Linked DNA regions of Anolis sagrei. The main gene of each other region encodes a partner of the protein of the gene in region 2 in a complex. Links are inferred from orthologs where the notes say so. Each region holds a gene or a part of one and is shown on either strand. Other genes may lie near its edges.

Region 1 (7,436 bases), on a different chromosome or scaffold from region 2:
GACACAATGTTGCTATATCATGGAACTTAACCATCTATAGATATAGATACGTTATGGAAACAAATCCAGCGGAGAACAAGGGCTCACTTTATCTTCCCCAAGAAGCAAAGGGCATTAGAATCAGAGCATCAAAGAGTGGGAAGAGACCTCATGGGCCATCCAGTCCAACCCCATTCTGCCAAGAAGCAGGAATATTGCATTCAAATCACCCCTGACAGATGGCCATCCAGCCTCTGTTTAAAAGCTTCCAAAGAAGGAGCCTCCACCACACTCCGGGGCAGAGAGTTCCACTGCTGAACGGCTCTCACAGTCAGGAAGTTCTTCCTCATGTTCAGATGGAATCTCCTCTCTTGTAGTTTGAAGCCATTGTTCCGCGTCCTAGTCTCCAAGGAAGCAGAAAACAAGCTTGCTCCCTCCTCCCTGTGGCTTCCTCTCACATATTTATACATGGCTATCATATCTCCTCTCAGCCTTCTCTTTTTCAGGCTAAAAATGCCCAGTTCCTTAAGCTGGTCCTCATAGGGCTTGTTCTCCAGACCCTTGATCATTTTAGTCGCCCTCCTTGATCATTTTAGTCGCATTGTCTCAAACTGAGTCAGACCCTTGGCCCATCTATCTCTGAAGCTTCAGCTCCACCAACCTCTAGGAAAGAATAGTTCCCAAAACTCTGGAAAGTTCCCTGATGGTCTGCCATCCATTGGTTAACATCCAAAATTGGGCAAAGTTGGCGTGTTTAGGATGACATCGCGTCATGGAAGATGCTGTTCCATTAGCAATTTCAGCTTCCGTATCTAGAACGGCCTTGGCTGAGGCAGCCAAACCCAGTGAGTTGGCACTCAAACATGAGCTAGGGAATAGCTAGGGGAAAGACCCAGAGCTTTCAATATTTCACAGATGGAAAAACAGACAAAGCAAGATCAGAAAGTGGCCAAGTTAGGGAAGGTTATTAAGAAAGAAGAACACAAGATCAAGAGAATCTAAGTGGTGAGTAGAACCTCCAAAGGTCTCCATCCAACTTCAGATGGTAAGCCGAAGATGGCGTCCAACCCATGCAAATGTGGTTCCTTTTGGATCCTCTCCTGACCAAGCAACCAATGACACCCAAATGTTTGAAGAGTTTAGGTTCTCTAAAGATCTTTATCTGAGCTTGGATGGTTAACTAAAAATGATCAGAATTTAGTTCCTTTTGGATCCTGTCCTGATAGAACAACCAACGCAATCGAAACATTTTAAGCTCTGGCCGCTCTAAATGAGTTCAAGTCCCCAGGGCCAGATCAACTACACCCAAGAGTATTGAAGGAACTAGCGGAAGTCATTTCGGAACCATCTTTGAGAGTTCTTGGAGAACAGGAGAAGTTCCAGCAGATTGGAGGAGGGCCAATGTGGTCCCAATCTTCAAGAAGGGAAAAAAGGATGACCCAAACAATTACTGTCCGGTCAGCCTCACATCGACACCAGGCAAGATTCTGGGAAATATTGTTAAGGAAGTGGTCTGCAAACACTTAGAAACAAATGCGGTCATCGCTAATAATCAACATGGATTTATCAAAAACAAGTCATGCCAGACTAATCTGATCTCTTTTTTCAATAGAGTTACAAGATGGGTAGATGCGGGGAATGCCGTGGATGGAGCGTACCTGGATTTCAGTAAGGCTTTCGACAAGGTCCCCCATGACCTTCTGGCAAGGAAACTAGTCCAATGTGGGCAAGGCAAAACTATGGTGAGGTGGATCTGTAATTGGTTAAGTGGACGAACCCAGAGGATGATTCTCCCCAAGGCTTCCTCTTCGTCCTGGAAAGAAGTGACGAGCGGAGTGCCATCAGCAGGGTTCCGTCCTGGTCCCGGTCCTCTTCAACATCTTTATTAATGACTTAGATGAAGGGTTAGAAGGCAGGATCATCAAGTTTGCAGACGACACCAAATTGGGAGGGAGAGCCAATACTCCAGAGGACAGGAGCAGGATTCAAAATGATCTTGACAGATTAGAGAGATGATTGGCCAAAACTAACAAAATGAAGTTCAACAGTCACAAATGCAAGATACTCCACTTTGGCAGGAAAAACGAAATGCAAAGAAACAGAATGGGGGACAATGCCTGGCTTGAGAGCAGTACTTGTGAAAAAGATCTTGGCGTCTTCGTGGACAACAAGTTAAACATGAGCCAACAATGTGATGTGGCGGCAAAGAAAAAAGCAATGGGATTTTGGCCTGCATCAATAGGAGCCTAGTGTCTAGATCTAGGGAAGTAATGCTACCCCTCTATTCCGCTTTGGTTAGACCACATCTGGAATATTGTGTCAAATTCTGGGCACCACAGTTCAAGAGAGATATTGACAAGCTGGAATGTGTCCAGAGGAGGGCGACTAAAATGATCAAGGGTCTGGAGAACAAGCCCTATGAGGAGCGGCTTAAGGAGCTGGGCATGTTTAGCCTGAAGAAGGCTGAGAGGAGACATGATAGCCATGTATAAATATGTGAGAGGAAGTCACAGGGAGGAGGGAGCAAGCTTGTTTTCTGCTTCCCTGGAGACTAGGACGCAATGGAACAATGACTTCAAACTACAAGAAAGGAGATTCCATCTGAACATGAGGAAGAACTTCCTGACTGTGAGAGCTGTTCAGCAGTGGAACTCTCTGCCCCGAAGTGTGGTGGAAGCTTTTAAACAGAGGCTGGATGGCCATCTGTCAGGGGTGCTTTGAATGCAATATTCCTGCTTCTTGGCAGGATGGACCATGAGGTCTCTTCCAACTCTTTGAATCTATGATTCTAGGACCTCTAAAGATCTCCTTTTGTCCTTGGATGGTAAGCCAAAGATGGCGCCCACCCATGAAAATGTGGTTACTCTCGGAGCCTGTCCTGGCAACTCCATCTGCTGAGTTCAGCCTTACCTTGTCCAACTTCATGTGCAGATACAAGCCAAACATGGCGGTCCCGACCAGCTGCGCGATCACAAATGCGGTGATGAGGCCCAGGAAGGCCTTCATGGTGACGGTTGAGCCGGAGGACCTGGGGCTAGGAGGGGAGTACGCGTCTCCAGCTTCCATACGTCTGGTGCCTTCCAAAGCCTTGGCTGTGTGAGGAACATCAAGGCTGCCTTGGTTCTTAGGCACTGCGCAAGGCAATGAGAAAGGTAGCACATCATTGTGCCTGCCCACAACTTCCTGGGGAACAATCGCATCTTCCATTGTGGGGAGATGTGTTCACAGTCTTCTCCCACAACAACAGCAAAAACAAATAGCTATTTCAACTCGGTATTTGAGGCTCACGTCAATTGCGACCCGAAAAAAAGTGTGTGTGCTGCTCTTTCATTAGTTCATCCTATCTTCTCTACTACCATTCTTTCCTCTACTTAGTCTCTTTTCCCATGATCTCCATCTGTGATCATAAGAAAAGAGAGTAAGATCAGATGGAGACCGCTGCTAAGAGAAGGTTGATGCAACCTGACCCATCTAAAACACAGACATGTGCTTTTCATCTCAAGAACAGACAAGCATCCCAAGCTCTGAGGATTACCTGGGAAGGAATCCCACTGGAGCATTGCAGTGCAATGGGAGTCACTCTGGACCGTGCTCTGACCTACAAGAAGCACTGCCTGAACATCAAGCAAAAAGTGGGCGCTAGAAACAATATCACATGAAAGCTGAATGGCACAACCTGGGGATCACAACCAGACACACTGAAGACATCTGCCCTTGCGCTATGCTACTCTGCTGCTAGGTATGCATGCCCAGTGTGGAACACATCTCACCACGCTAAAACAGTGGATGTGGCTCTTAATGAGACATGCTGCATTATCACAGGGTGTCTGCGCACAACACTACTGGAGAAATTACACTGCTTAGCCGATATTGCACCACCTGAAATCCGCCAGGAAGTAGCAGCCAATAGTGAAAGGACCAAGGCAGTGACATCTCCAGCTCATCCCCTGTTTGGGTATCAGCCAGCACGTCACAACTTAAATCTAAAAATAGTTTTCTAAGATCTACAGAGACACTTGCTGGAACACCCCAGCAAGCGAGAGTCCAAAAGTGGCAGGCTCAAACCCAGAATCTTAATCAATGACTGTGTCCCAAATTTGGTTTAGTGAATGAAAATACATCCTGAATATCAGATATTTACATTGCAATTCACAACAGTAGCAAACTTACAGTTATGAAGTAGCAATGAAAATAATGTTATGGTTGGGAGTCATCACAACATGAGGAACTATACTAAGGGGTCGCGGCATTAGAAAGGTTGAGAACCACTGATCTAGAGACACTCGCTGGAACACCTCAGCAAGTGAGAGTCCAAAAGTGGCAGGCTCAAACCCAGAATCTCAATCAATGGCTGATACCAAATGAGAGACTCCCCCCTGGGCACACAGAAAACTGGGCGACTTGGAAGGCGCTGAACAGACTGCGCTCTGGCACCACGAGATGCAGAGCCAACCTTCAGAAATGGGGCTACAAAGTGGAATCCACGACATGCGAGTGCGGAGAAGAGCAAACTATAGAGCACTTGCTACAATGCACCCTGAGCCCTGCCACATGCACATTGGAGGACCTCCTTGCGGCAACACCAGAGGCATTCCAGGTGGCCTGATACTGGTCAAAGGACATGTAATCAATTACCAAGCTTGCAAATTTTGTGTTTTGTCTGTTTGTTTGTTTTGTTCTGTTAGAAATGTAATACAATTGACTGGTTGCCCTGACACGACAAATAAATACCTGACTGTAAGAATGAAGTTGGCGGCAGAAGCACCCATAGACTTTAGCACACTAACCCACTATGTGTATAAAATTGGGAACATTCAATATCACACGCTGTTTCCTTAGCACAGCCCCCGGTGGCGCAGTGGATTAAAGCACTGAGCTGCTGAGCTTGTTGATCGAAAGGTTGCAGGTTCGATTCCGGGGAGGGGTGTGAGCTTCCGCTGTCAGCCCCAGCTTCTGCCAACCTAGCAGTTCGAAAACATGCAAATGTGAGTAGATCAATAGGTACTGCTCCGGCGGGAAGGTAACGGCGCTCCATGCAGTCATGCCGACCACATGACCTTGGAGGTGTCTACGGACAACGCCGACTCTTTGGCTTAGAAATGGAGATGAGCACCACACCCCAGAGTCAGACATGACTGGACTTAATGTCAGGGGACTACCTTTACCTTTTTTTCCCTTAGCATAGTGGTTCTCAACCTTCCTAATGCTGTGACTCCTTAATACAGTCCCCCATGTCATGGTGACCCCCAACTGTAAAATTATTTTCATTGCTATATACCGCCCTTCTCAGCCCAGAGGCGATGCAGAGCAGTAATTTTGCTAATATAAATATCTGATATGCAGGACGTATTTTCATTCATTGGACCAAACTTGGCACAAAACCCCGATATGCCCAAATTTGAATACTGGTGGGGTTGCGGGGATTGATTTTGTCATTTGGGAGTTGTAGTTGCTGGGATTTATAGTTAATGTACATTCAAAGAGCATTTGGAACTCCACCAATGATGGAATTGAACCAAACTTGGCACACAGAACTCCCATGACCAACAGTGAGCTAACAGCTGGGAGGAGGCTCAGTCCCCCCCCCCCGAGCGCCTGGGCCAATCACAGGGCTTCTGCAGTGCGCCAGAGCCAATCAGGAGGCTTCTGCCGCCTAGGTGCTCCAGCGAATCAGGAGGGAGGGAGGCGGGACAAGGGAATACAATGCATTCTTGAGTGGATTATGGTATCAGGAAATGTCGAGGGGCTTGGCGAGTCCTAAAATGGCCTACAAGCAAAGCTAGACTATTGTGTTGTGATTGACACATTGATTTTGACAATATCACTTAATCCGGGTTTTCCTCTTATGATAAGGCAGGGGTACAATGGGGGAGACTAGAGGTGAATGTCTTCAATGGGATGGGCTTGAATGGAAACAGGTCAGGAGGGAGGAACTTTCCAAAGGCTCTCCCTTATCCTATTGTAAAATTCTGCCAAGCAATCATCTCCCTGATGGCCAAATCCTCTGAAGTCAGGGAGATGTTTCTTTGTTATGGTCCATGCAAGGAATGTTCTTAGATAAGAGTTTCTACAATCGCTAAATGCTTTCTTTCCCAGGGCAAAGCGACTTCCTTACACATTTTTCTCAAAGAGATGGGAATGGGGCAAAAGGGTCAGGAAAAGGTCAGATACATGAGGGGAAATATAGAAATACAGAAATCATACTAAAAGTCATATCCATGCAAATCCTGCAAATCTCTTGGGAAGACAAGTGGACAAACAGCGTGCTGGAAGAAGCAAAGACCACCAGCATTGAAGCGATGGTCCTCCGCCATCAACTCTGCTGGGAAGACAGGTGGACAAACACCAGCATGTTGGAAGAAGCAAAGACCACCAGCATTGAAGCAATGGTCCGCTGGACCGGCCATGTTGTCCGGATGCCCGACCACCGTCTCCCGAAGCAATTGCTCTACTCCGAACTCAAGAACGGAAAATGGAATGTTGGTGGACAGGAAAAGAGATTGAAAGATGGGCACAAAGCCAACCTTAAAAACTCTGGCATAGACAATGAGAACTGGGAAGCCCTGGCCCTTGAGCGCTCCAGCTGGAGGTCAGCTGTGACCAGCAGTGCTGCAGAATTTGAAGAGGCACGAATGGAGGGCGAAAGGGAGAAGCGTGCCAAGAGGAAGGCGTGCCAAGCCAACCCCGACCGAGACCGCCTTCCACCTGGAAACCAATGCCCTCACTGCGAAAGAAGATTCAGAGCAAGAATAGGGCTCCACAGCCACATACGGACCCACAAGAATATTGGAAGACAATCATCCTCAGAAAACGAGGGATTGCCTAAGTAAGTAAGCAAAACTATAAGTTACTTTCTTTCATGTTCGACCTCAATTGGAGGTTTGTGTTTGGTCTTCTCATAAGACTGACCCTGTCATGGCTTTGAAGTCAACATTTGCTTCTTGAATTAGGAGACAATGACTGAGATCTAGCCTTCCCAAAATCTCCACCAAGCCTTGTGGCACAGCCTTTTTGTTCCCCATTGAATATTAACTCAGTCCTTTCCAACTGAAAACCTCCCTCACAGTAATATAGTGGTCTGGGCTGGAGAATGGAGGAGCCAGTAAGTAGAAGTTGCCCAGAGGTCTACAAAGGTGGCCTCGATCACTGAGTCTTTGGCTTGGAGAACGTTCTTCTTATCAACCGACAGCCTCAAGGGCGGGAAGCCAACGTGCCAGCTTTGAACTGGCTCCTGCTGAGTCAAGCTTGATGGCGTCCAAACGGTGCGCAGCCACAACTGAAGGTTTTTCTACGTAAAGGAGCTGAGGTTTGACACCTTGAAGCAGAGCAACCCATGAGGCACGGCACGGCCTCGTGACGCCACCTGATGAAAGAGCTTCTGGTTTGCTCACAGAGGATTTCTGGTAACCCCTTGCCTGATTATTGTAGATCCCTGACTCAGGGTAGAGCCTTTTCCC
Region 2 (8,229 bases):
TTTGGACTCAAAATCCCACAATTCCTCACAGCCTGGGGCCCCTTCCTTCCCCCCTCAGCTGCTTAAGCAGAAAAGGAATCATAAAAGGGAAAGGAAAGGGCCTGAGGCTGTGAGGAATGGTGGGAGTTGGAGTCCAAAATACCTGGAGAGAAGGCCGAAGTTTGCCCGTGCCTGAACTAGAGTAGAATCACACAACCCCAAGGTGGCAACCGAGCCTTTGGTATGAGTCGCCCATAAACTGAGAAAGGTGGTATACAAATGTAGTAAATAAATAGATAAATAAATAAATATTTTCCTAGCAGAATTCAACTGGGAGATATTGACAAGCTGGAATGTGTCCAGAGGAGGGCGACTAAAATGATCAAGGGTCTGGAGAACAAGCCCTATGAGGAGCGGCTTAAGGAGCTGGGCATGTTTAGACTGAAGAAGAGAAGGCTGAGAGGAGATATGATAGCCATGGATCAATATGTGAGAAGAAGCCACAGGGAGGAGGGAGCAGATCAAGGGTCTGGAGAACAAGCCCTATGAGGAGCGGCTTAAGGAGCTGGGCATGTTTAACCTGAAGAAGAGAAGGCTGAGAGGAGATATGATTAGAGCCATGTATAAATATGTGAGAGGAAGCCACAGGGAGAAGAAGGGAGCAGGCTTGTTTTCTGCTTCCTAGGAGACTAGGACGCGGAACAATGGCTTCAAACTACAAGAGAGGAGATTCCATCTGAACATTAGGAAGAACTTCCTGACTGTGAGAGCCGTTCAGCAGTGGAACTCTCTGCCCCAGAGGGAGTGTGGTGGAGGCTCCTTTTTTGAAAGCTTTTAAGCAGAGGCTGGATGGCCATCTATCAGGAGTGATTTGAATGCAATATTCCTGCTTCTTGGCAGAATGGGGTTGGACTGGATGGCCCATGAGGTCTCTTCCAACTCTTTGATTCTAGGATTCTATGATTCTATGGGGAGCGGAAGCCAATGATGGGGCAGGGGATAGAATCCTAGAATCCTAGAATCAAAGAGTTGGAAGAGACCTCCTGGGCCATCCAGTCCAACCCCATTCTGCCAAGGAGTAGGAACATTGCATTCAGAACACCCCCAACAGATGGCCATCCAGCCTCTGCTTCAAAGCTTCCAAAGAAGGAGCCTCCACCCACTCCGGGGAAGGCAGAGAGTTCCACTGCTGAACGGCTCTCACAGTCTGGAAGCTCTTCCTCATGTTCAGATGGAATCTCCTCTGTTGGAGTTTGAAGCCATTGCTCCAATGCGTCCTAGTCTCCAAGGAAGCAGAAAACAAGCTTGCTCCCTCATACCATGGGGTTGGTGCAGCCAGATCTTTGGGGGGTTGGAGTTGCTTGTCCTTTCTACGCCATTCATTCCCACCCCCTCCTCGGCAGGTCTTGAGAAGCGGTTTCTACGAAACTGCAAGTGACTGCAGGGTCAGTTCCTCTTTCTTATCTAAAAATGAGTTCAAACACATTTTGGGGGGGGGGGGGGGGAGTGAGGATGACATTATATGAACGTTGCGACTGGGCTGTGTGTGTGATTTCCAACATCGGGATAATATGAAGAGGAGAGGGTCAGGATACTAGAGTGACCCTCTGGGGTCTGACCCTTGAAGACTGGATGGCTCTCTATTGCAGCGTTTCTCAACCTGGGGGTCGAGACCCCTGGCGGGGTCGCGAGGGGTTGTCAGAGGGGTCGCCAAAGACCATCAGGAAACACAGTATTTTCTGTTGGTCATGGGAGCTCTGTGTGGAAATATTGGCCCAATTCTATCGCTGGTGGGTCTCAGAATGCTCTGATTTTAGGTGAACTCAAAAATCCCAGCAACTACAACTCCCAAATGTCAAGGTCTATTTCCCCCAAAATCCACCAGTGTTCACATTTGGGCATATTGAGTATTTGTGCCAAGTTTGGTCCAGATTGATCATTGTTTGAGTCCACAGTGCTCTCTGGATGTAGGTGAACTACAACTCCCAAACTCAAGGTCAATGCCCACCAAACCCTTCCAGTATTTTTTGTTGGCCATGAGAGTTCTGTGTGCCAAGTTTGGTTCAATTTCACTGTTGGTGGAGTTCGGAATGCTCTTTGATTGTAGGTGAACTATAAATCCCAGCAACTACGACTCCCAAATGACAAAATCAATCCGCCTGCCCAATCCCACCAGTATTCAAATTTGGACATATTGGGTTTTTGTGCAAAATTTGGGTCCAATGAATGAAAGTACATCATGCATATGAGATATTTATGTGATGATTCATAACAGTAGCAAAATTCCAGTTATGAAGTAGCAACAAAAATAATGTTATGGTTGTGGGTCACCACAACATGAGGAACTGTATTAAGGGGTCGCGGCATTAAGAAGGTTGAGGACCACTGCTCTATTGGGAGGGCTTGGATGGTGCTTTTCCTGGCAGGTTGGGGCTGGGCTGGATGGCCTTTGGGGTTTTTTCCTCCAAGTCTAGGGTGCTAGGACCATGGACAGGGATTGACCCAGAAGAGGCAGGGAAGGAGCGTCTCTCTCTACTTTCTGCGGAAGGGAAACTGGACGGGAAGGCAAGAAAAGTCAGCAGGAAACCCCAGGGAGACAAGGCTGCATAAGCAAGGAAGGAAGCAAGGAAGGAAGACCCCTCCTTGGGTTTTCCGGAGGACTTTTCCTGCCGTGGAGTTCCCTGTGGGTCTTTACAAAACATTGCAACAGACATGCATGAGCCATGAGCCAACAATGTGATGTGGCGGCAAAAAAAGCCAATGGGATTTGGGCCTGCATCAATTGGAGCATAGAGTCTAGATCTAAGGAAGTCATGCTGCCCATGCTCTATTCCGCCTTGGTTAGACCACTTTACCTGGAATATTGTGTCCAATTCTGGGCACCACAATTCAAGAGAGAGATTGACAAGCTGGAATGTGTCCAGAGGAAGAGGGCGACTACCATGATCAAGAGTCTGGAGAACAAGCCCTATGAGGAGCGGCTTAGGGAACTGGGCATGTTTAGCCTGAAGAAGAGAAGGCTGAGAGGAGACATGATGAGGGCCATGGATCAAGATGTGAGAGTTGACAAGCTGGAATGTGTCCAGAGGAGGGTGATTAAAATGATCAAGGGTCTGTAGAACAAGCCCTATGAGGAGCGGCTTAAGGAGCTGGGCATGTTTAGCCTGAAGAAGAGAAGGCTGAGAGGAGATATGATAGCCATGTATAAATATGTGAGAGTTGACAATCTGGAATGAGTCCAGAGGAGGGTGATTAAAATGATCAAGGGTCTGTAGAACAAGCCCTATGAGGAGCGGCTTAAGGAGCTGGGCTTAAGGAGAAGAGAAGGCTGAGAGGAGATATGATAGCCATGTATAAATATGTGAGAGTTGACAAGCTGGAATGCGGAAGGGAAACTGAACTGAATGTTTCCACCTGAACATGAGGAAGAACTTCCTGACTGTGAGAGCCGTTCAGCAGTGGAACTCTCTGCCCCGGAGGGAGTGTGGTGGAGGCTCCTTCTTTGGAAGCTTTTAAGCAGAGGCTGGATGGCCATCTGTCAGGGGTGATTTGAATGCAATATTCCTGCTTCTTGGCAGAATGGGGTTGGACTGGATGGTGGCCCAGGAGGTCTCTTCCAACTCTTTGATTCTAGGATTCTATGCGCATAAGTATTTGTTGCAAACAGTGTGCTGTTTTCCAGCTATTTGTGTTCCATGATCATTTCTCCGATAATATCTTTTCTTTAAGGAGTCACAGTCTTCTATTTGAATCGTACATACTCATAAAGGCATCCTAGGCTCTAAAGCAGTGGCTCTCACCCTTCCTAATGCCGCGACCCCTTAATACAGTTCCTCATGTTGTGTTGACCCACAACCAGAAGATTGTTTTCGTTGCAACTTCATCACTGTCATTTTGCCACTCTTAAGAATCGTCATGTCAATATCTGACATGCAAGAGGTATTATCATGCACTGGACCAAATTTGGCACAAATATCTTATACGCCTACATTTGAATGCTGGTGGCGTTGGGGGATAGTTGATTTTGTCACTTGGGAGTTGTAGTTGCTGGGATTTATAGTTCACCTGTAAACAAAGAGCATTCTGAACTCCACCAACGATGGAATTGGACCAAACTTGGCACACAAAACTCCTGACACCAACAGAAAGTACTAGAAGGGTTTGGTGGGCATTGGCCTTGAGTTTGGGAGTTGTAGTTCACCTATATCCAGAGAGCACTGTGGACTCAAACAATGCTGGATCTGGACCAAACTTGGCACAGAGTTTGCTTGGAGTTGTAGTTCACCTACATCCAGAGAGCACTGACAGATCTGGACCAAATTTGGCATGGATAATCAATATGCCCAAATGTGAACACTGGTGGAGTTTGGGGGAAATAGACCTTGACATTTAGGAGTTGTAGTTGCTGGGATTTATAGTTCACCTGCAATCAAAGAGCATTCTGAATTCCACTAACAATGGAATTGGACCAAACTTGGCACACAAATCTCCTGAGACCAACAGAAAGTACTGGAAGAGTTTGGTGGGCATTGACCTTGAGTTTGGGAGTTGCAGTTCACCTACATCCAGAGAGCTCTGTGGACTCAAACAATGATAGATCTGGACCAAACTTGGCATGGATAATCAATATACCCTAATGTGAACACTGGTGGAGTTTGGTGAAAATAAACCTTGACATTTGGGAGTTGTCATTGCTGGGATGTATAGTTCACATACAATCAAAAAGCATTCTGAACTCTACTGTCAAAGGCTTTCATAGCCGGAATTATTGGGTTGTGGTAGGTTTTTTCGGGCTGTCTGGCCATGTTCTAGAAGCATTCTCTCCTGGTGTTTCGCCTGCATCTGTGGCAGGCATCCTAGGAGGTTTTGAGACCTCCCAACCTCTGAGGATGCTTGCCCTAGATGCAGGCGAAACGTCAGGAGAGAATGCTTCTAGAACATGGCCAGACAGCCCGTAAATTTCTACAAAAACCCAATTATGGGGATCTTCCTGGTCCTGTTTGGCCGGGAATGCTCTGGAAGGGAAACCCCGGAGGCGATGGGGAGGGCCAGTGGGGGGGGGGGCGCTCTGCCCATGCTCAGAGGCAGGGGGGGATTCCCCGGCGGGGCGGCATTGGGCGGAGGGGAGGGGGCGGGGCGGGGCAGGGGGCGTGGCGCCTCTTCTGTCTCCTCCTCCTCCTCCTCTTTCTTCTTCCCGGGGGGCTCTTAAGGGCAGCGCTCCGGCCCTCCTCTTGCAGAAGGAAGAGGGTGGGCATGGGGTCTGGCTGGAGGTCAGCGGGGCTCCGGCCAGGGCGCTTCTTCTCCTCGTGGGCGCTGACCTGGGCCCTCCTCGCCACCCACCTCGGACGCGCCGTGAGTTTCGCTTTCGCTTCGGACACCAAGAAAAGGGGGGGGGGGCACAGGTCGGGGCTTTCCTTTCTTTCTTTCTTTCTTTCTTTCTTTCTTTCTTTCTTTCTCGCTTTTATTTCCCTCCCTCCCTTCTTTCCCTTCTTTTCTCTACTCCTCCCTTTCTGAGTCCCGGGGAGGAGGAGAGGGTCCCTCTCTGCCCGAAATGGGGGCTTCTGGGGGGAAAGGGGGTGGAACTGCGCTTTCTTTCCTTCCCTTCCTTCTTAGAATCATAGAATCCTAGAATCAAAGAGTTGGGAGAGACCTCCTGGGCCATCCAGTCCAGCCCCATTCTGCCAAGAAGCAGGAATGTTGCATTCAAATCACCCCTGACAGATGGCCATCCAGCCTCTGCTTCAAAGCTTCCAAAGAAGGAGCCTCCACCACACTCCGGAGCAGAGAGTTCCACTGCTGAACGGCGCTCACAGTCAGGAAGTTCTTCCAAATGTTCAGGTGGAATCTCCTCTCTTGGAGTTTGAAGCCATTCTTCCATTGCGTCCTAGTCTCCAGGGAAGCAGGAAACAAGCCTGCTCCCTCCTCCTCCCTGTGGCTTCCTCTCACATATTTATACATGGCCCTCATCATATCCCCTCTCAGCCTTCTCTTCTTCAGGCTAAACATGCCCAGCTCCTTAAGCCGCTCCTCATAGGGCTTGTTCTCCAGACCCTTGATCATTTTAGCCGCCCTCCTCTGGACACATTCCAGCTTAGAGTCAATATCTCTCTTGAATTGTGGTGCCCAGAATTGGACACAATATTCCAGATGTGGTCTAACCAAAGCAGAATAGAGCATGGGGAGCATAGAATCATAGAATCATAGAATCAAAGAGTTGGAAGAGACCTCATGGGCCATCCAGTCCAACCCCATTCTGCCAAGAAGCAGGAATATTGCATTCAAATCACCCCTGACAAATGGCCATCCAGCCTCTGTTTAAAAGCTTCCAAAGAAGGAGCCTCCACCACATTCCGGGGCAGAGAGTTCCACTGCTGAACGGCTCTCACAGTCAGGAAGTTCTTCCCTGGATCTAGACACTAGGCTCCTCTTGATGCAGGCCAAAATCCCACTGGCTTTCTTTCTTCCTTTCCTTCCTTTCCTTGATCTTCTTTCTTTCTTTCTTTCCTTCCGTCCTTCCTTTCCTTTCCTTTCCATTCTTTCCTTTTTCCCCTTCTCTCATTCCTTCCTTTCTTTTTTCCTTTCTTTCCTCTCTCCTTCCTCCCTTCTTTTCTTTCCTTCCTTCCTTTCTTTTTCCTTTCTTCCCTCTCTCCTTCTTCCCTTCCTTTCCTCTCTCCTTCCTCCCTTCTTTTCTTTCCTTCCTCCCTCCCTTCCTTTCTTTTCTCCTTTCTTTCCTCTCTCCTTCCTTCCTTGCTTCTCTCCTTCCTTTCCTTCCTCTTCTTTCCTTCCTTCCTTCCTTCCTTCCTTTCCTTTCCTTTCCTTTCCTTTCCTTTCCTTTCCTTTCCTTTCCTTTCCATTCTTTCCTTTTCCCCCTTCTCTCATTCCTTCCTTCCTTTTTCCTTTTTTCCCTCTCTCCTTCCTCCCTTCTTTTCTTTCCTCCCTCCCTCCCTTCCTTTTTCCTTTCTTTCTTCTCTCCTTCTTCCCATCCGTTCTTCTCTCCTTCCTTCCTTCCCTTTCTCCTTCCTCCCTTTCCTTTCTTACTTCTCTCTGTCCTTCCTTTCTTTTTTCCTTTCTTTCCTCTCTCTTTCCTCCCTTCTTTTCTTTCCTTCCTTCCTTCCTTTCTTTTTCCTTTCTTCCCTCTCTCCTTCTTCCCTTCCTTTCCTCTCTCCTTCCTCCCTTCTTTTCTTTCCTTCCTCCCTTCCTTCCTTTCTTTTCTCCTTTCTTTCCTCTCTCCTTCCTTCCTTGCTTCCCTCCTTCCTTTCCTTCCTCTTCTTTCCTTCCTTCCTTTCCTTTCCTTTCCTTTCCATTCTTTCCTTTTCCCCCTTCTCTCATTCCTTCCTTCCTTTTTCCTTTCTCCCCTCTCTCCTTCCTCCCTTCTTTTCTTTCTTCCCTCCCTCCATTCCTTTTTCCTTTCTTTCTTCTCTCCTTCTTCCCATCCGTTCTTCTCTCCTCCCTTCCTTCCCTTTCTCCTTCCTCCCTTCCCTTTCTTACTTCTCTCCGTCCGTCCTTTCTTTTTTCCTTTCTTTCCTCTCTCCTTCCTTCCTTCCTCTACTCCCACCTGTCTTTTTTCCCATCCTCCCCTTCCATTCCTTTCTTCTTTCATTTCATCCCTTCCCTTTTCCTTTCCTCCTTTCCTTTCCAGGTCGTTTGGTGGGGGGGGGGGCTTCCTCGCGTCCCCACCCTCGGCCCCTCCCCCACCCAGGGACCCCTCCCTTGGGGATCCCCCACCCCCCATTGACTATGAACTAGTTCAGAAGTATGGTGTGTTCTCCAAGATCCTTTCACCACCGTCCCAAACATAGTTGGTGGGGAGGAGAGGGGGGTGGCTTCTCAGTGGTGGCCCCTGGGTTTGGAATGCCTTCCCCAGGGAGATTTATTCATTTTATGTACTGTATGTGTATACTGCCCTTCTCAGCCCTCAGGAGATGAGGCTGGCACCCACTCTGTCCGCCTTTCGCAGAGACCTCAAAACTCAAATGTTCCAGTGTTCCTTTGATCATGATTAGATTCCCAGGTGGCACAGCGAGTTAAACCGCTGAGCTGCTGAACTTGCTAATTGGAAGGTTGCCAGTTTGATTCCAGGGAGTGGGGTGAGCACCCACTATTAGCCCCAGCTTCTGTCAACTTAGCAGTTTGAAAACATGCAAATGTGAGTTGATCAATAGGGACCAGGAAATCAGAAGATGTTTCCTTCTTGGGAGGAGAGCGTTGGCCAACCTCAATGAAAGAGTGAAGAGTAGAGACATCACACTG

The links.
Region 1: the proteins of CD40 (region 2) and CD40LG are in contact, whole or in part, in a crystal structure (PDB 3QD6), measured with the Homo sapiens proteins. The link is inferred for Anolis sagrei from reciprocal best matches to the Homo sapiens genes CD40 and CD40LG. Residues at the interface, in NP_001241.1 of Homo sapiens: Glu64, Ser65, Glu66, His76, Cys77, Gln79, Tyr82, Asp84, Asn86, Leu87, Trp109, Cys119; in NP_000065.1 of Homo sapiens: Ile127, Glu129, Ala130, Lys143, Gly144, Tyr145, Tyr146, Cys178, Pro217, Cys218, Gln220, Ser245, Gln246, Ser248, His249, Gly250, Thr251, Gly252.

Annotation. Positions count from the first base shown.
Region 1 is NC_090030.1:25,054,831-25,062,266, reverse strand, and holds the start of CD40LG (CD40 ligand), read right to left. Parts: upstream 3,187-7,436; coding exon 2,890-3,186; intron 1-2,889. UniProt on the Homo sapiens protein: Cytokine that acts as a ligand to CD40/TNFRSF5. Costimulates T-cell proliferation and cytokine production.
Region 2 is NC_090024.1:248,020,003-248,028,231, reverse strand, and holds the start of CD40 (tumor necrosis factor receptor superfamily member 5), read left to right. Parts: upstream 1-5,172; 5' UTR 5,173-5,232; coding exon 5,233-5,331; intron 5,332-8,229.